Linked DNA regions of Lonchura striata. The protein of the gene in region 3 binds, or shares a complex with, the protein of the main gene of each other region. Links are inferred from orthologs where the notes say so. Each region holds a gene or a part of one and is shown on either strand. Other genes may lie near its edges.

Region 1 (7,262 bases), about 15 Mb from region 3:
TACAGGGCACAATTCAGGCATTCCAAAGTGCCAGGAAACGTTAAAATAAAGGATTAATTCAGGCATTCCAAAGTGTCAATAAATATTAAAATCAGTCATTATTTCAGGCATTCCTAAGTGACAGTAAATCTTAAAATAAAGGATTATTTCAGGCATTCCAAGGTCCCAATATTTAAAATCCAGGATGATTCCAGCCTCTATTCCTGACAAAGCAAAGCAAAGGAATCTGAACCCTCTGAACTCACCTGGTCATGGAGGGGGTTTTTCAGAGGGGATTTTTATGGAATTATGGATAGAGAAATGCTGGAAGGTTTGGCATTCCTGTGTTCTGAATGGATAAATAATAAATAAATATTCTGAACTAAATAAATAATAAGATAAAAATGGAGAAATGCAGCCTCTCCTTGCTGGGCTGGAAGGGAATGTTCTTTTCCAGGGAAAACAGCAGCCTCTTCCACCTGTATCCATGAATTATTCTGGACAAGAATAATTGAATTAACCAGGGCAAGAGGGCACAAAAAGAGCAGGGTTTGTCCCCAAAAGCATCCTGCACTTCCCAGAATTTGGATGGAACAGGGAGGGAGGGATGGGAATTAAAAATTAAATGGGGTAATTGAGGTGGCTACAGGTGCTCTGAAGGAAATGAAAAGGGAAATTCAGTTTATTGGGGTGGGTTCAGGTACTCTCAGGGCAGAGCAACATCACTTGAGAGTCTGAAAATACAAAAAAATACAACAAAAAAAAGCACTCAAAAATACAACAAAAAAAAAATCACCAAAAAATTGCACAAAAAAAATCCACAAAAAAAAAAATCTCTTCCACAGCTGTTCATCTGCTTATTCCCACCAATTAGAGGGCTGTGCAGAAAATACAATTTTGAATTTGAGCCACCTGCTTTTCTGCAACTGAGAATTTTTGTTTAATTATTACTGCAAAAACCCTCCCTGCCAAAAAAAAACAACAACAAAAAACACACCAAAAAAACAAAAGAAAAAAAAACCAAAAAAACCAACCAACCAAACAAACAAACAAACAAAAAAAAACCAAGAACTGGAAGTTTTCTTTAGACCCACACAGCTAAAACCTCCAGCTTTGAATCTCCATCCTCACAGCATTAATTGCCTGCATTTATGTAAATATTACTGAATATTTAAGTTAGATTAGGAAATAGATGATAATTGTTCCAGGGTAACAGAATATAACAATGCTTCTGCTAAAAAATAATAATAAACCAATTTTCAAGCAACATAAGGAAAAATAAAATGAAATAGTAATCCAAAGATCCAAGAAATGGAAGAATATTGGTTTAGTTTCAATACCTGGTTTAGGACGAGGCGGCACAACATGTCCAAATGTTTCACGACACTAAAGATAAACACATAATTTACATATTTACAGGTATATATTTACATATTTACCATTTAGTACACTGCACAGCCAAAAAGCAAACACGGAAGAGCTGAAATCCCACAGGGAAGAGCTGAAATCCCAGAACTCAGAGCTGAAATCCCAGGAGCCAGAGCTGAAATCCCAGAACCCAGAGCTGAAATCCCAGAACCCAGAGCTGAAATCCCAGAACCCAGAGCTGAAATCCCAGGAATACAGAGCTGAAATCCCAGGAATACAGAGCTGAAATCCCAGGAGTCAGAGCTGAAATCCCAGGAGCCCAGAGCTGAAATCCCAGGAATACAGAGCTGAAATCCCAGGAATAGAGAGCTGAAATCCCAGAACCCAGAGCTGAAATCCCAGAACCCAGAGCTGAAATCCCAGGAATACAGAGCTGAAATCCCAGGAGCCAGAGCTGAAATCCCAGGAATACAGATCTGAAATCCCAGGAGCCCAGAGCTGAAATCCCAGGAATACAGAGCTGAAATCCCAGGAATAGAGAGCTGAAATCCCAGAACCCAGAGCTGAAATCCCAGAACCCAGAGCTGAAATCCCAGGAATACAGAGCTGAAATCCCAGGAGCCAGAGCTGAAATCCCAGGAGCCCAGAGCTGAAATCCCAGGAATACAGAGCTGAAATCCCAGGAGCCCAGAGCTGAAATCCCAGGAGCCAGAGCTGAAATCCCAGGAATACAGATCTGAAATCCCAGGAATACAGAGCTGAAATCCCAGAACCCAGAGCTGAAATCCCAGGAGCCAGAGCTGAAATCCCAGGAATACAGAGCTGAAATCCCAGGAGCCCAGAGCTGAAATCCCAGAACCCAGAGCTGAAATCCCAGGAGCCAGAGCTGAAATCCCAAAACCCAGAGCTGAAATCCCAGGAATACAGAGCTGAAATCCCAGGAATACAGAGCTGAAATCCCAGAACCCAGAGCTGAAATCCCAGGAGTCAGAGCTGAAATCCCAGGAGCCCAGAGCTGAAATCCCAGGAATACAGAGCTGAAATCCCAGGAATACAGAGCTGATTGCCCTGCAGGGGCTGATTGCCAGGCTGAGCTGAAGCAGCCCAGGAATGGCCACAGGACCAAGAGGTTGGGCAAGCTGTGCTGGCAGGAGCTGTCCCAGCAGTCCCCCCCTGCTCACAGGGGACACCAGCTCTGGCTCTGCCCCAGTTTGGGATTTTTGGAAGGGAATCATGGCCAGTGTGAGGTACCTGTACACAGCTTGAGTTCATGAACACTGGGAATCACTCTGGAGATGTGATCAGAGAATCCCAGAATGATCTGGGACGGGAGGGACCTCAAACATCATCCCACTCAAGCCCTGCCACGGCAGGGACACCTCCCACTGTCCCAGGCTGCTCCAAGGCCAGTGTCCAACCTGCCAGGGATCCAGGGGCAGCCCCAGCTGCTCTGGGCACCCTGTGCCAGGGCCAGATCCAGGTAAAAACTCCCCTGGAACATCCTGCAAGTTTCCCATCAAGCTCCAACCCCTCTTACCAGATCCAAGGAGGCCGGACCACCTCCAAAAAGAGCCGCTACAAAGGTGGACAGAGGACCAGCCATGGCACATCACCCTGGGAGAAAAGGAGGGTGAAAACACACCAGAGAGACAAACTCAGGAGCTGGGCCACACTTCCAACAGCCACGGCGCTAAAGCTCACTCTGCTGCTCTTGTTAAACTCTGGGCAAGTTCAGCTTAACGCTGAGCAAGCCATCCTAAACCCGGCTGGAAGCTCAGGCAGCCACTGACTCTGATCTACACCGCGACAGGAGCCCGGGCCCTGCCGCACGGCTGCATCCCGGGATCACGGCTGCATCCCGGGAATCACGGCTGCATCCCGGGAATCACGGCTGCATCCCGGGAATCACGGCTGCACCCCCGGGATCACGGCTGCATCCCGGACTGCATCCCAGGAATCACGGTTGCACCCCCGGGATCACGGCTGCAGCCCCGGGATCACGGCTGCATCCCGGGAATCACGGCTGCATCCCGGGAATCACGGCTGCATCCCGGGAATCACGGCTGCATCCCGGGAATCACGGCTGCAGCCCCGGGAATCACGGCTGCATCCCGGGAATCACGGCTGCAGCCCCGGGAATCACGGCTGCAGCCCCGGGAATCACGGCTGCATCCCGGGAATCACGGCTGGATCCCGGGAATCAAGGCTGCACCCCCGGGGATAACGGCTGCATCCCGGGGATTACGGCTGCATCCCCGGGAATCACGGCTGCACCCCCGGGAATCACGGCTGCACCCCCGGGATCACGGCTGCATCCCCGGGAATCACGGCTGGATCCCGGGAATCACGGCTGCATGCCGAGATCACGGCTGCACCCCCGGGAATCACGGCTGGATCCCGGGAATCACGGCTGGATCCCGGGAATCACGGCTGCATCCCGGGATGCCGAACACCCCGCCCCGTCCCGGCAGCTCCCGGGCTCCCCCCTCCGCCGCCACCCGATCCCGGAAAACCGCGGGCTCGCCGCTCGCGTGGATTATCCTGCCAAAGGGGAGAAGGGGACGCCGTCCGTGCCGGTGCTCCCAGAGCCCGGAGATGCTCACGGCACCGCGTGTGCGGCCCGGGGCGCGCTCACGGTGCCGGGCACAAACCGGGGCTTCCGGGCTGGGCGAGGCGCGGGGGAAGGCGGCCGAGCGGCCACCGCTCCGTCCCTCCTGTATCCCTCCGTCCTTGTATCCCTGTATCCCTCCATCCTTGTATCCCTGTATCCCTCCGTCCCGGTATCCATGCCCGGATCCCGCACGCACCGCTCCGATCCCGCTGCTGCCGCGGCGCCGCCGCTCCCGCCGCCCCGGCGCGCCCCGCCCGCCGGACGCACCGCCCATTGGCCGCCCGCCCTCTGACGTCACGGGCCGCGGCCAATCGGCGGGCCGTGCGCCTGCGCGCGTGGCCGGATGCAGGCGGCGCGGTGGCGGATGGGGGAGCGGGGGTAGGGAGCGCCTTCCTCCCCCATCATCATCATTATCATCCTCCTCCTCCTCCTCCTCCTCCTCCTCCTCCTCCTCCTCCTCCTCCTCCTCCTCCTCCTCCTCCTCCTCCTCCTCCTCCTGGGCCAGGCTGTGGACAGCAAAGGGGCAGAGCCGGGCGCGGGGAGAAGGGAGGGGTGCGGCCCCCGCAGCCGCGGGTACAGGGGCCCCCCCAAAGCGCTCCCTTATCTCTTCTATCCCTTATCTATCTCTGCTATCCCTTATCTATCTCTGCTATCCCTTATCTCTGCTGTCCCTTATCTATCTCTGCTACCCTCGTGTCCCGTTCTCCGCACTCCCCGCGAAGTTAAAGGCAAAAGCCCAGCATGGTTGAGAACTCTCCGGCCCCGCTGCCAGAAAGGGCAATTTACGGATTTGCGCTTTTTTTGGGCTCGTGGTTTGGCTTCAGTGAGTATCGCGCAGCCGAATCCATCACCCCGCAGTGCTGCTTTGCTTTCCCGTTTAAATCCGTTTTTTTTTACTCGAATCACGCTCATTTTCACATTCACTAAGCGCTGGAGGTAGTTGTGGTGTTACCTTCCCCACCAAAAAAATGAAAAAAAAAATAATCTGGTCAACAGAAGTGTAAAATATTTTAGGTTCCATCAGCTTTTCCCTGCTGATGTGATGGGTTCTTCTTTTCACTGGGGATCCAGGGTTTGAGAGGGTAGAAAACACTTTTCCAGCACAAGAAAAGGTGCTGCAAATATCCTTCAGTGCAGGATCCTGCTGTGGGTGTGTGGCACCGTCGGGCAGTGAGAAACGAGGGGGAGTTGGGCTCAACTCCCCCCCAAGAAGAATCAGGAAGGATTTTCAGTAATTTTCATTACAGTTCCATCCAAACACTACAATTCCACCCGGTTTTCTTCCCATAAAATGACCTCTGTGAGATCATTCTCTGCTTTAATAGTATCTCTGTTCAGATTCCTTTGGCTTCTTTTTATTGAGGTGCTTGGGGGTGGTTTTGTTGGTTTTTTTTTTTTCTTTATTGTTCTGCAGTTTAATTTGGAGTAAATTCTTGGCTGTCTTCATAGGAAATCAGAAATTAAATGTTAAAGCAAGAACAAAACTGATCCCGTGTAACCAGGGGCTGGGCAGGATTTGTCCTGCAATCTTTTGGGAGAGGTATTTTAGTTTAAATAAAAGCAAAACTTAGGAAGTCTAAAACACCATCAGTCTTATTGTGACTTTTTGATTTTGTTGTGCAGTTTTGTACCTTATCTGGGCTTATATTCCTGAGACTTGGCTCTTCTCCCTGGGACTGACATACTGGCCTCAAAAGTAAGTTCAGCCAATAAAATAAATTTAATCTTAGTTATTTTCAAATAAAAAACTTTATTTTTAAATAAGGGCCTAGAATAAAATCAATTTTCCCATGCTGATAAAGAATTGTAATGTTTCTAAAGCATTTTTAAAATGTAGCTAAGGTGAAAAGGTTTTGTTGTGCCATGAAATAAATAATATTGGGATGCTTTAGGATAAATTTGACATTTTGCTTTTTAGGAAGTCTGCTAGTGGAAATACAGTAAAATGTAGGGCATAATTAAACAATAAAGACCTTTTTGAAGGAATTTATCTGATGGTTTATCAGTAGCTCCAGTGGAATCAGGATTCATAATCAGAGGTGCTGCTGCTTTTCCTCTTGTAGAAATTCATCACAGGTACAATGCCAACAATTAAAGCCAATTCATTAGTAGGCATTTGTTACTAAATATAAAATTTCAAATCCTTTTTTTCAGGTACTGGGCAGTTGCTCTGCCAGTTTATCTCCTGGTGGCTGTGGGAATTGGTTATATTTTGCTTTTTGGGATTAACATGATGAGCACAGCTCCACTCAACTCCACTCACACCATCACAGGTGATTTTACTGCTTATTGAAAAGTTGGATCCTTCACTGAGAATTCTGGAAATCTATAGAGGATAAACCCCGAAATTTAAGCCTTTAAATATTTGATTTATTGGAAGCCCTGGTGGGGTTTTCAGCATCCTTTAAAGTAAGCTAAATTTGTAGTGCTGCCTTATAAAATTATATCATACTCTTGGAAGAAAAGGACCTGGAAACCATGAAATGCTCTCCTTATCTTTTGTAGATAACTTTGCAAAAAAGCAGCAGCAGAAGAAATTCCAGGAGGAGGCAATTCCAGCCCTGAGAGATATTCCCATCAGTGAAGTCAACAGGATGTTTTTTCTCCCTGAAAAAGGCATCTGCAATAGCAGATAGTTGTTACTAAAATCTGTTTGGACAAAGGATTGATAAAAATTACTGAGGAACGATTAAAACCTCTCCAAGCTAAAAAAAAAACAAACTCTTTCAGCTTTTTTTCCCCTGAATTTCTAATTAAATTCATATGGCTTCATTATTATTATTATTATTATTATTATTATTATTATTATTATTATTATTATGCACCTTATTAACCTGCATTGCTCTGAAAATTATGCCCCAGTCATTTATCTGGTTGTTATTTAAAAATTAAAAAAGTGGGTTGAAAAGTGTTCTGTTACTTGCAGCTTTTTGCTTGGAATTCCCCTCTGAGCGGGGAAAAAAAGCAGCTTTTAGACAGTTTAATTCTATTTTTTTTTAAATTCAGGGAGAGAAAAATGTGTTTTGCCAGTCAAACACTTGAGGATCTTTTTCAATTATTAACTGGAAGTGTTTGCATTGTAAATATATCATTTGCCTTTGTAAATATTAATAAAATGTAACTGATTTTTCCATCTTCACCATTTTCTTGTGATTCTGGGAGGTTTCTCCTGGGTTGAGGTGATAAATTCTCCATTTTCCTTCACACAATTCTTTATTCAGCCAAACCTGTTGATCCCCCCACCCCCCCAAAATATCAGATTTACCGAGTTACCAAAAATAATAAAGGTGGGTTGTGAAGATTT
Region 2 (8,076 bases), on a different chromosome or scaffold from region 3:
CTGATTGTTTGAATGGAGAGCAAATGAAAAAACCCATCCCTAGTATGTAGTTCTGTGAGATTTCAAATGCCACACATCCTGACAGCCCAGCCAGGGAAAGGCAACTGTCACCAGCTACCTGTAGCAGAATAAAAATATGCTTAGACAACTGATGCAACACAAAGACTACAACATGGATTTCTCCACCATTCAGTCAAACTCACTTGAAAGAGTGGCACAACCTCAGATACTCCCTGAGGATCTTCAGGGTCCTGGAGGAGGATACACAGGTAGTAGATAACTTTTTGCTACAAGACAAACGGACAAAAATCATTGGAGTATAAAAATGCTGTCAAACTGCCTGGAGTTAGCACAGAAGTAGGATCTGTTTCAACTCACTGGGCTGAAGGCAAATCCTGCCAGGTCACAGTCAAGTCTACAAATTTGTATCAACAGCTTTCACTCAATAAAGAAATAACGTTGACTGTCTATTAAGTTTTTAACCTAAGAAGAACACACACATGCTGGAAGGGTAAGGTCTGCTTTTCTACAGGAGCTTTGCAAACCCCAGCAATAGGAAAAATCATTGTGCTGTCGTAGCTTCTCATCTCCATCTTGATTACATATGGAGTTGGGCATCAGGATTTGAAAGAACAGCATAACACAAAGAACGAAACCCACTAGCTCAATGACAGTGGCATTATCCAAGGGATTGATTTGGCTTTTTGAGGTTGTTTGGTTTGATTTCTCCTTTAAAGGTGAGAGATGACAAATTAAGTTGAAAAATCTGAAGCTCCTGATGTCAGTAAAGCTACGGATGGTGCTGTGTTTAATTGCTCTGGTAAATCATGCTCATGAAAATACACTGGATGTGAGTGTGCCCAGACACAAGAAGACAGATTTTGTATGATTACCATATGGATGGCTTCATTGATAACCACATCCTTCACTTGAGCCATCTCAATGAAGGTTGTGCTCTCTTTCCCTGAGGCATAGGAGGAAGTCACCTGAATGCCGAGCGAGCCGATGACCAGCAAGGATTCCTGGTCAATCTTCACGAAGTGCAGGTATATGATCAGGCCAATCAGCGTGATGAAGATGGCGGCAGAGAGCACCATGCTGTTCTGTAACACAAGCCAAGAAAAGGCAGAGCTCTGGTCTTACAGTTACTTTAACACAGCTTTAGAGAAATTAAAATTGCGCAGCAAATTGTATATTAAAGCTACAGGTGCAAAGCATTTTTACTTAGGTAGAGTCTTTTTATTCACCTGGCTGGCTGATATCTATGTAGTGAGGTTTAAGTTAGTCTTTGCAGTATGCACTAAAAGAATTGGGAGCTGAAACTGAAAACTGCGAGAAAATTCTATTCCCTTCCAAGTTCAATGCAGAAATCTCAACCCAAACAAGCCAGATGTATCAATGAGAGTATTATGCCAACTTCTAAAGATGATGTCACTGACAAAAAAGTGTTGTGAAATGTTTACAGGAAGCAAGGGTGGATTCTCAAAGCAGAGGAACCCTCCTTCAGGATAAACACTGCCAGGGTGGTTTTCTTACCATGAACTGCCAGTCCAAACTTGTTCAAACCACACCCACTTCTTGCCTTAAATACCAACCCAATGAAATTTTGCTTTATCCTGTATTTTGTGTAAGGATCAATGTCTTTTGCATGCCACAGTCTTGGGATTGCTGTTACATTTTAATATATAACCAATGACACTATAGTCACCAGTAAATCATCTGAAGACCTGGTGATAAATTCTAAAGGTCCACAACCCACAACCTGTTTCTGAGACATGTTTTAGAGATCTTCAGGCCACCTACTCATGAATGAGAGTTATAAGTGACACTTTCTAAAGGAACAGAACTGCACAGCCCTACTACCACTCAAGCTGGGCCTGTACCACCATGTGAGCAAAAGAAGCCATCGCTTCAGGAAGCACACAGGACATCTCCAAAAGTTTGCTATCACAGGGGAAAAAAACAGTCATGAAGTACAGACACTGAAATCCACAAAAAGAGAGGGGCACTTTCAGGCCTGATTTCCTGGCTAAAGGAAGAATTGCAGTCACTTGCATGCAGGCTGCAGGAGCATGTGTAAAGACAAGCAGGAGGGCAGTGGGTGCTAACCACTGACTGCAGTGTAAAAAAAGAATGACATGCTTTCGTAAAAAAAGAAATTTAATCAGGAACCATCTATTTCTGTCTGACAACTGACTCTACCTTTGTTTCTTAAGAAGGATTACTGAAAAAAACTGATTTGCAACAGTCAAAGCATGGGTCACAGTGACCAGCTTCTTTGGTCAAGCTACTGAATTCAGTCTGGACATAACTTGTCTGGGTCCAGTTTCTGATTAATCCAAAAGCATTAATTTAGGAATCAGCAGACTTTTATATCTGTACTGCAAATATCTTTCTGCCTCAGCTGTGAAAATTGATGACATTCCCGGTGCAGTGCTCCCGGTGTCACTTAGAAAAATTCCTTTTGAGGATTAAAAATCATTCACCTTATTCAATTCCTCCTTAATTTCAGATTCTCACAACTCATTTCTCCAAGTGAACACGTGTTATTTGGACTCAGAAGGATGTGCCAGGCATCACTCAGCACCCATACATCTACCCTATCTGTCAAGAGGCTACAAACCAACAGAGGCACCCGCGAAGCCACTGGGGCAGGCAGGTGGCGGCCCGCAGCCGGCAGGCTGGCACGGCCGTCCCTTTGCCGTCACACACCCACCAGCTCGGAGCGGCCGGGGCGCGGGGGATGCCCCGGAGCGGCGCTCGGCGCCTTCCCGCGGGCTGCGGCCGCCCCCACGCCCCGGGCGCCGCTAGCCAAGGCGGCGCAGCCCGCGGGACTCCTGCGCGCCCGCGGGAGGGGCGCGGCCGGCGCCGTGCCGAGCCGCGGAGGGCCCGGGGCGGCGGGGCCGGTACCTCGCTGAGCGCGAAGAGCCCGTAGGCCGCCAGCCAGACGGCGGAGGTGACGGCGCTGAGCGAGCGCAGCTGCAGGCGCGGGCCGCGCACCGCCAGCTCCCGGCAGGACGCGCTGTGCTGGCGGCGCCGCAGCGCGATCGGCACGCCGCAGGCCGAGAGGAAGCGGCGCTGCTCCGCCATGCCGGGCGGGCGGGGCCGGCCGTCCTCCCGCGGGAGGAGCCTGGCCCGCCGGCTCGGCCCGCGCCGCCTGCCTCCTCGGCTGTGCCTGCCCGGGCGTCTGTCCGTAATCTCGATTACATCAGCGCTTTCTGCGGTTTGCACATGTTGATAATTCGTTGCCTGCTTCCTCTGTTTACGGAGTATGAGTGTTAGTTAAAGGGCACACGGGTTAGTGGTGCTGCACGTGTCTCTTGACGTGATGAAGAGCCTGGGGTTTTCATGGAATCGTAGACTGTTAAGGGACTGGAATGAAACATAAAGATCATCTGGTTCTACACCACCCGCCTTGGAAAGGGACACCTCACACTGGACTAGGTTGCTCAAGGCCTTATCCAACCTTGCTTTGAACGCTGCCAGGGTTGGAGCATCCACAACCTCCTTGGGCAACCTGGTCCAGTGTCTCACCACATGCAAAGGAAAAAATTTCTAATATCTAACCTAAATTTACCCTTTTTCCATTACTCCTAGTCCTATCACTACAACTCCTGATGGAAAGACCCTCTCTGGCTCCCCAGAACGCCCCTTTAGATACTGGAAGGTTTCTATGAGTTCTCCATGCAACCTTCTCTTCTCAGGAAGGTTCTCTTTTCACCCCTTTGTCCTTACCATCTGCAACTACATTAATGGATTTTCTCATCTGTACCATGCTTAGCTAACTACAAGCTCTTTTGATTTTTTCCCCCAAGGTTTAAAGCAGAGTTTTCTGGTCCCTTGCCACTAAATACATGATAAATTGGAGACTTGGCTTTGCATACAGAGACTTAATGGATCTTTGTATTGTGTTCCCTTTAATGCATTTCAGTTATTACTTCATGTGACTGACATAGCAGTAATATAAAACTACAGCTCTGTGACTTCGTGGTGGCTCTGTGACTACGTGGCAGTAATATAAAACTACAGCTCTGTGACTTCCAAACTGCCATCCTGATTTCTTTGGCCTTTTTTTTTTTTTCCCTTCTCCCACAGTTTTTGAGTGTTAGCTTTAATTGCAGGTGCCATCTTTCTGTGAGCAATTTACTTCATGCATGGCATCCTCAGAGCTCTTGGGTGGATACTGTATGTACAAAAAAGCTGTTAACTTGTTCTCACAGGGGCACCAAAGAAGTCTTAAGGGACATGAAAAAACAAGGGGCATCAGAGAATCACTACCGAGGCCTTTGCTTTGCCTGGAGGAGTGGTTGATGGCTGCCATCCATGGGAAGTCTTGTGCAGTACATCCAGGATCCCACTCTGACACAAGAGACCAGGTGGAGGAATGGGCTTTCCTCTTCCTCTGAAGAGGAAAGGTGAGCTGGCCTGGAGGAAAAAAAAAATTAACAGCAGACAATGAAGTGCAGAAATGGAGAAGAAAATACTGAAGTTCAAAAGAGGATGAAAGAAGTTAGTTGATGAAGTGAAAGTGGAAAAAACCCAATAAATTGAAAACAGGCTTTTAAAAGATGGAAGAAAGGTTTGAAATGGCAGGTGAGAAGGACTGAAGCATGTAAGCAGGAGTTATGGCAGCTGGTATGACAGCTTCAGAGATGGGGACAAGAAGGGGAAAGAAATATCAGAGTAAGAAGTAGAAGAGGTAAAAGCACTGTGAACAGCCAGGTCAGTAAACAGGACAGAAAAGAAATATGATCTCCTGGAGGAGTGATAACAATAATTCACATTCACAACAAGACACAAAGAAGTTATTGACATACAGAGATAGGAGGAGAACTAGGAAATCTTAAGACGAAAAAGCAAAATATGCTTGGATTTTTTAATATGTGTCTCTGGCAAGTCCCTATTTAACTATGTTTCTGCCCTGTTATCTCATGAGCTGTCAGCCTTCTTTCAAGCTTGTAGATAAAGACTGGACATTCGACAGTGGGAGTCCTGTTGCCTTGTCACAGCAGGGAAAGGTGGGGACTGCCACTTCTTTTTAAATCATTTGTTAATCATCCTTCAAATGTGCCTCAAATATGAATAGCTGGAGACCCGAGAATCGTCTCAGGCCACGATGCTCTGCGATCAATATTCGAGGTAGGTGCTGAACAGGTGGTCCTTCAATGCTTTATTAAGGTCATCTGGTGATGAGCGTCACCGTTTTCCTTCGGGGAAGCCACGGAGCGGCCAGCCAGGGAGCCGGGCTGAGCTGCAGGAGCGTGCGGCTCGCACACAGAGGGGACCTACACGTGTCAGAGAGAACGAGCATCTCATCGCCAGCCTGAGGCGCTGCTCGTTCTCTCCGAGCCCCCGTCCGTGCCCCCGGCGGCGGCAGTGGAAAAACCCCGGGCGGGCGTGCGGGCGCGGGGGCGGGGCGCGCGGACACACCTCCGTGCGCGCGCGCTGCCGTTGGCCGGCGGCGCGGGGGCGGCGCGCGGCGCTAAAGAGAGCGGGGCGCGGGCGGCGCGCGGCAGCACCGCCCGCCATGGCCCTGCGCGGATCCCTCGCCCGCCTGCTCCGCGCCCAGCCCGACGCCGCGCTCCGGCCGCGCCGCGGGGCGCACTCCGTGGCGCTGGTGGGAGCCCCGCTCTCCAGGGGCCAGGTGGGCATCGCGGGGATGCGCCGGGCGCCGCGCTCGCCCGGCTCCCCTTCCCCGGCGGGGCTCGCGTACCTGGCTGCGGGCAGCGCTGTCTGACGCGTTCCCCTCTCTTTGTCTCGCAGAAACGGCGGGGAGTGGACCACGGCCCCGCTACCCTCCGCGCCGCGGGGCTGGTGGAGCGGCTGGCCGGGCTCGGTGAGCACAGCGCGGCGGGCGGGGGGTGGCGGCGGGGGCTGCGGGGCCGCCCGCGCCCCCCTCCGCTCGGGGGGCAGCGTGACTCAGCCGCTCCTGCGGGCGGGGGGAGGCGGCTCCCGCCTCCGGTGCCTCACGGAGCACACCGTGCCCCGGCGCCGGCGGTGCCCGCAGCCCTGCGGAGGCGTCGGGAGGGAGAACGCCCGTCGCATGCCGCACCGGGAGGAGCCGCAGTGGGCCCTGCGGGGGTCCCGGAACAAAGAGCGGCCGGTGGTCCCGGCTCCCCGGCCGCGATGCGCTCCGGCTGCCCAGAGCAGCGGCACGCAGCCGAGCCGGCCGCGCTGGCGCAGCGAGCGGCGCACGGAGCGTGTGATGCTCCCCTGCTGACTGCCGCGGAGCGAGCGGCCGCCCGAACTGCTGTGCGCGCTCGTGGCATCCAGAGAAGGAACTGTGACTAACCCTCGGGTTAGCACGTAGTGTGGGCTTTGCCTTATTTTTTTTTTTTTCTGTGTTCGTTACCAGTTTGTTCCTAAAAGATTCGTATGCTTCCAGGTGATGAAATTCAGAATTTTCTGGAGAAATCGTCAGTTTTATATAAGAGGTCTTGTGTGAAGTCTTTGAAAACGCTTGCAAATGTCACCCTGTGAATGGGCTGTTTCTCGTCTTTTTGTGCAAGCAAATCCATGCACTTAGTTGTGATTCAACTTCTCACATCTATTCCGTCCACAAGCTGCAGAAAGCTGTACCACATTTACTAGAAACAGGACACGAGGGATAGAAATTTGTAAAGCTGAACTGTGTCTTGGAGAATCTTTAATCTAAAGAGTGTTACTGAAAATGGTGTGATGAAGATGGATTGCAGGGATGTACCACAGAAAGAACCAATATCTTCTCCCTGGGTGGTTAGTGTCAGTGGAGTTTAGATGCACACAGAGATAATTGCCTAATAACCCTCTAGCAATTTTATTCTGAATGGTAAGAATGCTTCTAAACAGAAGTAATTGTTCTTTGTAGCCCTGTAGGCTTATCCTGCATATCTTATGATTCACAAGCTGAAAAGTCCCAGTTGGCAGCCAGATGTGTAGATATTCTTTTCCATTCTTGTTTTATGCAAAGTATAGACATTGCCGTTGTTGGCAATACTTGAACTCTAGTGAGAATGAGCTGTAATTTCAGCAAGTGTGGAAGAGGGCATCTAAAAGAGGTTCTTTGTACTGGAATAGTTACTTAGTCTAAAGTTTATCTGAAATTAATAAAATGCTAGGTTTGAAAGGAGGATGCTCTTCTAAATAGTGCTGTAGGCAGCAGATTACTCAGTATCAATAACAGAATTTTATGCTGGAAGTCTTGGGGTTCTCTTTCAAATGGTATTACTCAGTATCAATAATAGAATTTTATGCTGGAAGTCTTGGGGTTCTCTTACAAATGGTTTAGAGCTAATGTTTCCACTTTGAAGGAATTCTTTGAGGAAAAGCTCAAACCCACAAAACCCAACCAAATTAAAAACTGGAAGACAAAACCCTCTTATTTGCCTGACACAAGCTCACTTCAATAGGAGCTTGCAGAAGGTATAAAGAAAGGGAAATCTGAGCCCTTTGATATAACTCTGGACAGGGGCCTAAGAAAAATCACGAGAAATTGATGTCAATGTATACAATAGAACAATATAAGTTTAATAATTAATATGTAAGTTATATAATGATAGAATATAAAATACGTTCAGCTCGAAAGCCATATCAGAGTCAGATTTGGGTCTGTATCCCTGACTCCCAGAGCTCTCAATAAAAGCACCTCCATACAATCATATCCCATGATTATGTGTGTTCCTGAATGCTAACACATGGAGATATTTTCTTGCTGGTTGTGGGAATCCAGAGCTTCCTTCTGGCTGCCCTGGAAGGCCTGGGACCCTGGCAGGGGGTCAGGAACCTCCCTGTACAGAGCCCCGAGAGACACTGTCTCTGATCTCTGTCCATGGAAAAGAGATTTCAATCTTACGGGATGAATTACAAGCTCTGAGTGTTCGAGATAAGTAATAATTAAGTGTGGCATGGGTGCAAAAGTAAAATTTTAGGATTCTAGATTAGGGGTTCAAAGGGGACAAGATGGAGGAAATTGGGTGTGTTTTGTCCTTTTTCTCCTTCTTCATGCCCTCCATGTTTCACTGCAGTGTTGGTATTTTTCTATTGGTTTAGGCTGGGAACACACTGTTCAATGTAGGTGACAGATATTGGCACATTATT
Region 3 (7,415 bases):
TGCCATGACTGCTCTGCTAGGGACCAGGAAGGAGCAGAGACCAAGGGTCCAGGAGCTGGAATGGATCCTGCATGGCAGTGGTGAATGACTCACTGGCAGGTGGTGTAAAAGAGAATTCTTCTCAGACATTCTCAGTATTCTCAGGATTACTGAGAACACTGCAAATGCACTGCCAACAGCTGTCCTGTCCTGTGTCCTGCTAGGAGATGTAAGTTGTTTATTAGCCCAGAGGACTGGAAGCTGCTCCTGGTGTACATCTTTGCTCCTGAGCCCTCATGCTCTTCTTCACTTTCACTGACCTGATTTGACAGGGAAGGGAATGCTTTGGGCACTGGGGTGGAAGAGCACTGTAACATGCAGAGTATGACCAAGAGATTGAGACCTCAGGGCACGCATGAGAGGCACACAGATCACACACCTGAGAGCTAACACACACAGCCTTCAGCCTTGCCAATCAACTTCTCCCTTCTGCTAGCAAATTCATGTCCCACAGATCAATTCCAAACTGCTTGGAAGGGAGAAGTGTCTGTAAAATGGAAAATCAACTTATTTTCTGGCATCTAAGAGAGAAATCTGGCTTCAGAAAAGAAGCCCTTTCTTCAGTTTGAGTTTAGTGGTAATTTCCTTCGCAGACAGCACTGTGGTTTGTTAAGCTTTCAACTTGAAACCTGTATTTTAGAAGTACATTAACATGTAATTTCAGCAAGCTTCTGTGGGATTCCATGAATAGGAAAACCCAGGTGCTTGAATGAGAAAACCATGATTTTTCCTGGCTGCTTTATGGGAGGTATTCCAGCCAGGTAATAAGATTGGCTGTATGTGGTAGAAACCAGGCAAAACCAACTTTTCTATGGTATTATGGAATCTATTAGATCCTGTTGCTATTTCCTAGCAGCAAAAAACAACTGCTGAGGGAGACACTCACTCCCTCTATGCAGGAATCTTAGAAGTGACAGGCTCTTCAGCCTTACCCTGTACAAGTAAACTAAATGGAAGGACAATTAGTCCTCTTTCTTCAGAGAAATAATTCCAAATACTGCTTTCTTCTCTGTTCTGGGCTCTATTTAATTCCAGCAGGACCAAAAACTGCAAACACTGTCATTTCTTGAGCAAGGTGTTGGGCTGTCTCTGGCTGTCATGCTTGGTTTCACTAACCAGTCTCTGTTTATGATACATCTACAGCCCACAGTTCTCCATTCAGCAGTACTACTATTTTTCACTCATGCACTTAATTTGTGGTTTCCAACAGTTTCTGCTTTCCTGGACCATGAAAAGGAAATGTTCTTCACTTCAAGCTAGTTGTGCTGTCTCACACCACTGTTCCATGTCATAAGATTTCTTTTCCAGGAGAACTGTGGCTCCCTTGTCATGGCATCAGGCTCTAGAGCAGCACTGCTTCACAGCTCTTTTGTGAAGTACTCTGTGAAGAACTGATAGCTTGTTTTTGTCAATTATTACTGTTTTTAATAATAAATGTATTAATAATAAATAAGCTTTAGGCTTATTGAGTTTAAATAAATGCATTAATTTAATACACCAGCTTAGCCACTTCACCAAATAGTGATAGTCTTTGCCCCATAAAGACAGGGAATAAGAGCAATGTCATGCAACAGGCTGGGGGATAGAGTGGCAAATTCAGCCTGAGAGGAGACTGAGTGGGAGTTGCAAGTGCAGAGTACTTGGCAGAGTTTTCCTGTATTTTCAAGTACACTGAAGAGGTCTCCTTGAGGCATGATGACATCTGCTACCTGAACAAAGACACAGGAGTTTTGGAGTGTCCTCCATCTTCTCTCTCCATTAACTCAATTTATGAGATGTTTTAGAGAGCATTCAAGGACCAGGATTGGAAGTGGCAATTACTCTGCTGTGACAGGTTTTACATCTTTACTCACTACACTTTATCCTACAGCCTCACTCTGACCTTGTATGTGCTCTGAGGGACTGAATACATTGAGTGCAGGATTTAGAAAGTAAGAAAATTTGACTCTTTCTTCAGGTGTTGGTCTCTTCATTATGGGCTTCACCTCATATCAGGCCAGGAGAGAGTCTGGATATGATCAGGATCTGTGACCCTTTTATGAATACACAACACCACACCACAGTCAGTGTAAAATGAATATTATCCCATCCTTGTGAACCAGCTGTGGAGACAAAATTTAGCAGCACCTTTTTCAACTTGGCAGTGGCAAAGATTCCTTTCTATTAAGGTTTGTCCTAGGCTACTTGGAAGACAAATTATTCAAGTTCTTTTGAATATGTCAACAGGAGAAGGTTGCTGATACAGGGGGATTTACTGGACCTCTGACAGGAATGACATTAAGCTCAACCAGACACATTTAATGAAGAACACACATGTCAGACCACCAAAGCCAACATGCCAGGCCAAAGGCATGAAGGTTGGCCCCAATCCCTGATTTCCTTCAGAAAGACATCCAGAGCCAATGACCAACTGCTGGGAAAGTAAAGGAAGAAGCTGCTATGTCATGTACCAATTACAATTTCTCTTCAGATTTTTAAAGTTTGCATAGCAAGAATTACAACTTCTCTAGAGAATACACATGAAGAACTAATCTAAACAAAATTATTTTAAAATAGTTAAAACCATTAGCATTGTTTTCCTGACAGCTAAAATTGGAGTGACTTGACAGCTTGATTCTTCAGGGCAGTGTGACAGCAAGGGAGATCACCACTACCATGGGGTGCTGCACTGGAGAGCCCCCAGGTGAATTCCTCCTTCTCCTGGCACTACTTTGGTGCCTTTTTCCTAGATGTAATTGAAGGCCACAGCTTTACACTGAGGCTATAGCTTCTTCTGAGAACTAGGATGCCTACAAACTCCTGCTTCTCCAACTCTTCTTTCACACCCTGCAGCTGCTGGTGAGAAGTTTCCCCTCTTCTGGCCTCACACTCAGCTTCTCATCCTGAAATTCAGGTTCTTTACACTCCAGAGAACCACCTGATGATGAAATCAGATTTGCCAGTGCTGGTCCCATCTTTCTGAACACATGAGGAAAATTCAATTAATGAGCAATGCCTTTCTTAGTCAACACAGTAGAGGTTTTCACATCATTCAGTCCCAAGAATGACATGCCTGATTTCCTCCGTAGTCCTTCCTGGGATCAGTGCCTCCAAACCACATCTGTCCAAGCTTCAATCTAACAGGAATCCAGCCAGCACTCCAGCCTAGGTCAGCTTGTACTGTCACTCACAACAAGCACATTTGCATAGGAGTCACGACAGACTCAAATCTGACAAAATTCATATCAGAAATCTTGGCAAGAAGAAGAACTGCCAAACATAATTTTGGGAATATACAGGAAAGGCATGAACACCCTTCTTGGCAGCCAGCAGCAGCCAGGACAGTGTTGGAGCTGCAGAAAAGGCTGATGGTGAGGCTCCTCACGAAGACCAGGAATACATAGCCAAGTGATGCCAACCAGCTCCTTTCCCAGTGTTCAAGCTCCCGGACCATCTATTAAAAACATATTTTTAAAATTAATTTTCATTTAGAGACAGCAAGCTTTCAGCACTTTTGGCAGAAAAGTCTAGAACATTTCGGGAGCTCCAGATGCAACTGAGCCTAACACACCAGAAGAGCTTCTTCACTGGGGGCAGAGCAAAGCCTTTGGAATTTTGAGGCAATCCCATCCCTAATACGACATTTATGTCACATTTTCCGTAGCTCCGTAATACACCTTTTTGACAACAACCCTCCGGAACGAGCATCCCACTACAGCAAGGACCTCGCTGCTGCATTAGCGCCGTGCCCTCGGTGTCCGGCCCCGGGAACGGGCGGGACACCGGGACAGAGGGCTGGGGCGGGATCCCGGGATAGGGAGCTGGGGCGGGCCGGGAGCGGGACGGGATGCCGGGATAGGAAGCGGGACGGGATGCCGGGAGCGGGGCGGGATCCCGGGATAGGAAGCGGGACGGGATGCCGGGAGTCGGGCGGGATCCCGGGATAGGAAGCGGGGCGGGATGCCGGGAGCGGGGCGGGATCGCGGGATAGGAAGCGGGGCGGGATGCCGGGAGCGGGGCGGGATCGCGGGATAGGAAGCGGGGCGGGATGCCGGGAGCGGGGCGGGATCGCGGGATAGGAAGCGGGGCGGGATGCCGGGAGCGGGGCGGGATCCCGGTATAGGAAGCGGGGCGGGATGCCGGGAGCCGGGCGGGATGCCGGGAGCGGGGCGGGATGCCGGGGTAGGAGCTGGGCGGGATGCCGGGAGCCGGGCGGGATGCCGGGAGCGGGGCGGGATCGCGGGATAGGAAGCGGGGCGGGATCGCGGGATAGGAAGCGGGGCGGGATGCCGGGAGCGGGGCGGGATCGCGGGCGCGCCGCAGCCAATCTCCGTCCTGCGCAGCGATTGGCGCTGGTTTTCCCGCGTGACGCCGCGCCGGGCGGCGATTGGCCGCGGCGGAGAGCGGCGATGGGGCCATGGCGCCGGGCAGCACGCAGGGAGCGCCGGCCGCCGGCAGGTGGGTGCGGGCACGGGAGCGGGTCCGGGAGCGGGCACGGATATGGGTCCGGGTACGGGTACGGGTACGGGTACGCGTCCGGGTACGGGTACGTGCGCGGCTCCCCCGGCGCGGCCGCGCGGGCTCTGCGCTCCTCGGGGGCCCGCCCCGCCCTGCGTGCGCTGGAGCCGCGGGCGCTGAGGGGGCCGGGCCGCCGCGGGCGAGTGACGGCGCCTTGTGGCTCCTTCCCCCCGCAGGAGCGGGCCCGGGATGCAGGGCGGAGGCCCGGCGGCGCACAGCGTGTGCATGGTGTCGGACTTCTTCTACCCCAACATGGGGGGCGTGGAGAGCCACGTGTACCAGCTGTCACAGTGCCTCATCGAGCGCGGCCACAAGGTCCTGGTGGTCACCCACGCCTACGGCCACCGCAAGGGCGTCCGCTACCTCACCAGCGGGCTGAAAGTCTACTACCTGCCCCTGAAGGTGATGTACAACCAGTCCACGGCCACGACGCTCTTCCACAGCCTGCCCTTGCTCAGGTACATCTTCGTGCGGGAGCGGGTGACCATCGTGCACGCCCACAGCTCCTTCTCGGCCATGGCCCACGACGCCCTGTTCCACGCCAAGACCATGGGGCTGCGGACCGTCTTCACTGACCACTCCCTCTTTGGCTTCGCGGACGTCAGCTCGGTGCTGACCAACAAGCTGCTGACGGTGTCCCTGTGCGACACCAACCACATCATCTGCGTCTCCTACACCAGCAAGGAGAACACGGTGTTGCGAGCAGCCTTGGACCCTCGGATAGTCTCTGTCATCCCCAACGCTGTCGATCCCACCGACTTCACTCCAGACCCCTCGAGGAGGGATGACAGTACAATAACAATCGTTGTTGTCAGCAGACTTGTTTACAGAAAAGGTAATAGGGGGTCAAATGTAAGCTTAGTTTGGTTTCCTTACTTTGGAGAGGTCTTGGTCAGGTGTCACTTAGGCAGTATCTGTGGTATGGATGGAATTTTCACTGGGAGTGGCGAGGTGGCTGTTGCAAACTTAAGAAGAAGACATGTACATTTGTTTTTGTACGTGTTGGCTTCAGAAATGTGTTTCCTTTGTAATACTGAAGAGACCAAAAACTGCAGTTTGTAAAATGGAAGGTTTGGCTCATATTGGACATAAGATTTAGAGCCTAATCTAAATATTCTGTTAGAAATGTTTTAATTGTTTTTTATTTAATCAAGTGACAGCAGCTTAAGTGATTTTGTTTCCATTTTCTTCTTGTACGAGGTCTCAAGTTGTCGGGTTTTTTTCATATTTCTGTGTACAGCAGTTTAACTGTCTTCAGGAGACTTTTTTTCCACTTCTTCTACTCCTGAATAGAGTTGTAGATGTGGGCTACATCATGAGAAGTTCTGAAATCAAATGCAATAATGGCTTGCCCTAAATTTCCTACTCTTAGGTATTGATCTGCTTAGTGGTATAATTCCTGAGCTCTGTCAGAAATATCCGGAGTTACATTTCTTAGTTGGAGGAGAAGGACCAAAACGAATCATACTGGAAGAAGTCCGGGAAAGATACCAGCTACATGACAGGTTTGTTCTGTGGTTATCCATGACCCTTCAAGGTACTTCAGGGGTGGGGACCTGCCTGCCTCCTTCCCTCAGATAAACCCCAAATCTTGAGACTGGAGGCCTAAAGGCAAGGCAGATAAACCAGACACTGAAGACTTTGAGAGCTGGACTATGATCCAGCAAGTTAATTGATTTTTCTATGAATAAGCCCTGAATGAGCCTTCACTCAGGTCATAGAAAGGTGACTTAGATTTAAGTTGATCATGCCCCTCTGTGCAACCATGATGCTTGGATATCATTTGGCATAGATGTTAACATCTCGTTTGTGCCATTGCATGTGATGATGACTGCTAGTAATTTATTATTTCAGTATGAAGTTCTTCAGTATAGTGCTTGTCTCTTATGTTTTCTTGTGGTACTACAAACTTATTACCTGGTGCTACCATGTTACCAGAATGTTGCCATTTATGTATTTCTCTTGGGTTTTCTTGATCACGAACAGTTTCATATTCTCAATTGTTTGTTTACTTTTCTAGGTTTTTTATTGCCTGTTTTGTGCTTTAGTCAGTGATTTCCCCAATTAAAATTGTCAGTATCATTCTCATTTTACCCTTTATTGTTTTCCAATGTCTCTTAAAGATGATGGGTCCTGATGATTGTATCTTAAAAACTTTTTCCCTTATCAGACTCAGAATGGTCAGACCTCACATAGAAAAGTCAGATAATATATTTGACAAATCTTAGTTATTAACTGAAGGAAGCCATATTTTCTTGCAGAACTAGAAGGCTCAGTATGAGTGTTCTGGAGGCAAATGTCATTAAAACACCAACTTCTCCCACCAACTTTATTTTCAGAAGTTTCTTTCAGTGTGACAATAAAAAAGCAGGGTCTTCTATTTCTCTGTTGCTGGAAAAAATTAGATAACACTAAACTGAGGTGCCCATCTTTGTTCTGTCACTATATAAGTATGAACCATTGATACCTTTTTCAGAGTATGTGGCATTGTTATGGTCCAAATCTAGTGTTTATCTCTGATGGTTTTTTTTGGTTTGTTTTTTTTTTCCTCTTGTTTGCAGGGTGCGTCTTCTAGGAGGCTTGGAACACCAGGAGGTCAGAAATGTCCTGGTCCAGGGGCACATTTTTCTCAACACTTCCCTCACTGAGGCCTTTTGTATGGCTATTGTGGAGGCAGCAAGCTGTGGTTTACAGGTAAAAAAAAAAAAAATGGCAGTATTTAGAAAACATGTATCCATTTTAAACAAATTTCACAATGAAATAATATGGGCTTATCACATTTAATTTCATCTGAGGCTCTGTCTTGGCAGAGGTAAGCAAATGTTATGCCCATTTACAGATCACCTGGAAGCTGAGACAGAAGGGTTAACTCCAAGAAG

The links.
Region 1: PIGA (region 3) and PIGP share a complex: the UniProt entries of both Homo sapiens proteins name them as parts of the glycosylphosphatidylinositol-N-acetylglucosaminyltransferase (GPI-GnT) complex. The link is inferred for Lonchura striata from reciprocal best matches to the Homo sapiens genes PIGA and PIGP.
Region 2: PIGA (region 3) and PIGH share a complex: the UniProt entries of both Homo sapiens proteins name them as parts of the glycosylphosphatidylinositol-N-acetylglucosaminyltransferase (GPI-GnT) complex. The link is inferred for Lonchura striata from reciprocal best matches to the Homo sapiens genes PIGA and PIGH.

The regions. Positions count from the first base shown.
Region 1 is NC_134604.1:114,839,616-114,846,877, forward strand, and holds PIGP (phosphatidylinositol N-acetylglucosaminyltransferase subunit P), read left to right. Parts: upstream 1-4,262; 5' UTR 4,263-4,336; intron 4,337-4,425; exon of another isoform or gene 4,426-4,680; 5' UTR 4,681-4,699; coding exon 4,700-4,781; intron 4,782-5,581; coding exon 5,582-5,654; intron 5,655-6,112; coding exon 6,113-6,231; intron 6,232-6,463; coding exon 6,464-6,594; 3' UTR 6,595-7,097; downstream 7,098-7,262. Other genes in the region: E3 ubiquitin-protein ligase TTC3, read right to left, coding at 1,320-1,365, 4,155-4,232. UniProt on the Homo sapiens protein: Part of the glycosylphosphatidylinositol-N-acetylglucosaminyltransferase (GPI-GnT) complex that catalyzes the transfer of N-acetylglucosamine from UDP-N-acetylglucosamine to phosphatidylinositol and participates in the first step of GPI biosynthesis.
Region 2 is NC_134608.1:32,902,450-32,910,525, reverse strand, and holds the start of PIGH (phosphatidylinositol N-acetylglucosaminyltransferase subunit H), read right to left. Parts: upstream 3,101-8,076; 5' UTR 3,091-3,100; coding exon 2,911-3,090; intron 1,104-2,910; coding exon 894-1,103; intron 288-893; coding exon 204-287; intron 1-203. Other genes in the region: ARG2 (arginase-2, mitochondrial), read left to right, coding at 5,528-5,644, 5,764-5,836. UniProt on the Homo sapiens protein: Part of the glycosylphosphatidylinositol-N-acetylglucosaminyltransferase (GPI-GnT) complex that catalyzes the transfer of N-acetylglucosamine from UDP-N-acetylglucosamine to phosphatidylinositol and participates in the first step of GPI biosynthesis.
Region 3 is NC_134604.1:100,049,039-100,056,453, reverse strand, and holds the start of PIGA (phosphatidylinositol N-acetylglucosaminyltransferase subunit A), read left to right. Parts: upstream 1-4,405; 5' UTR 4,406-4,435; coding exon 4,436-4,476; intron 4,477-4,712; coding exon 4,713-5,371; intron 5,372-5,908; coding exon 5,909-6,041; intron 6,042-7,097; coding exon 7,098-7,230; intron 7,231-7,415. UniProt on the Homo sapiens protein: Catalytic subunit of the glycosylphosphatidylinositol-N-acetylglucosaminyltransferase (GPI-GnT) complex that catalyzes the transfer of N-acetylglucosamine from UDP-N-acetylglucosamine to phosphatidylinositol and participates in the first step of GPI biosynthesis.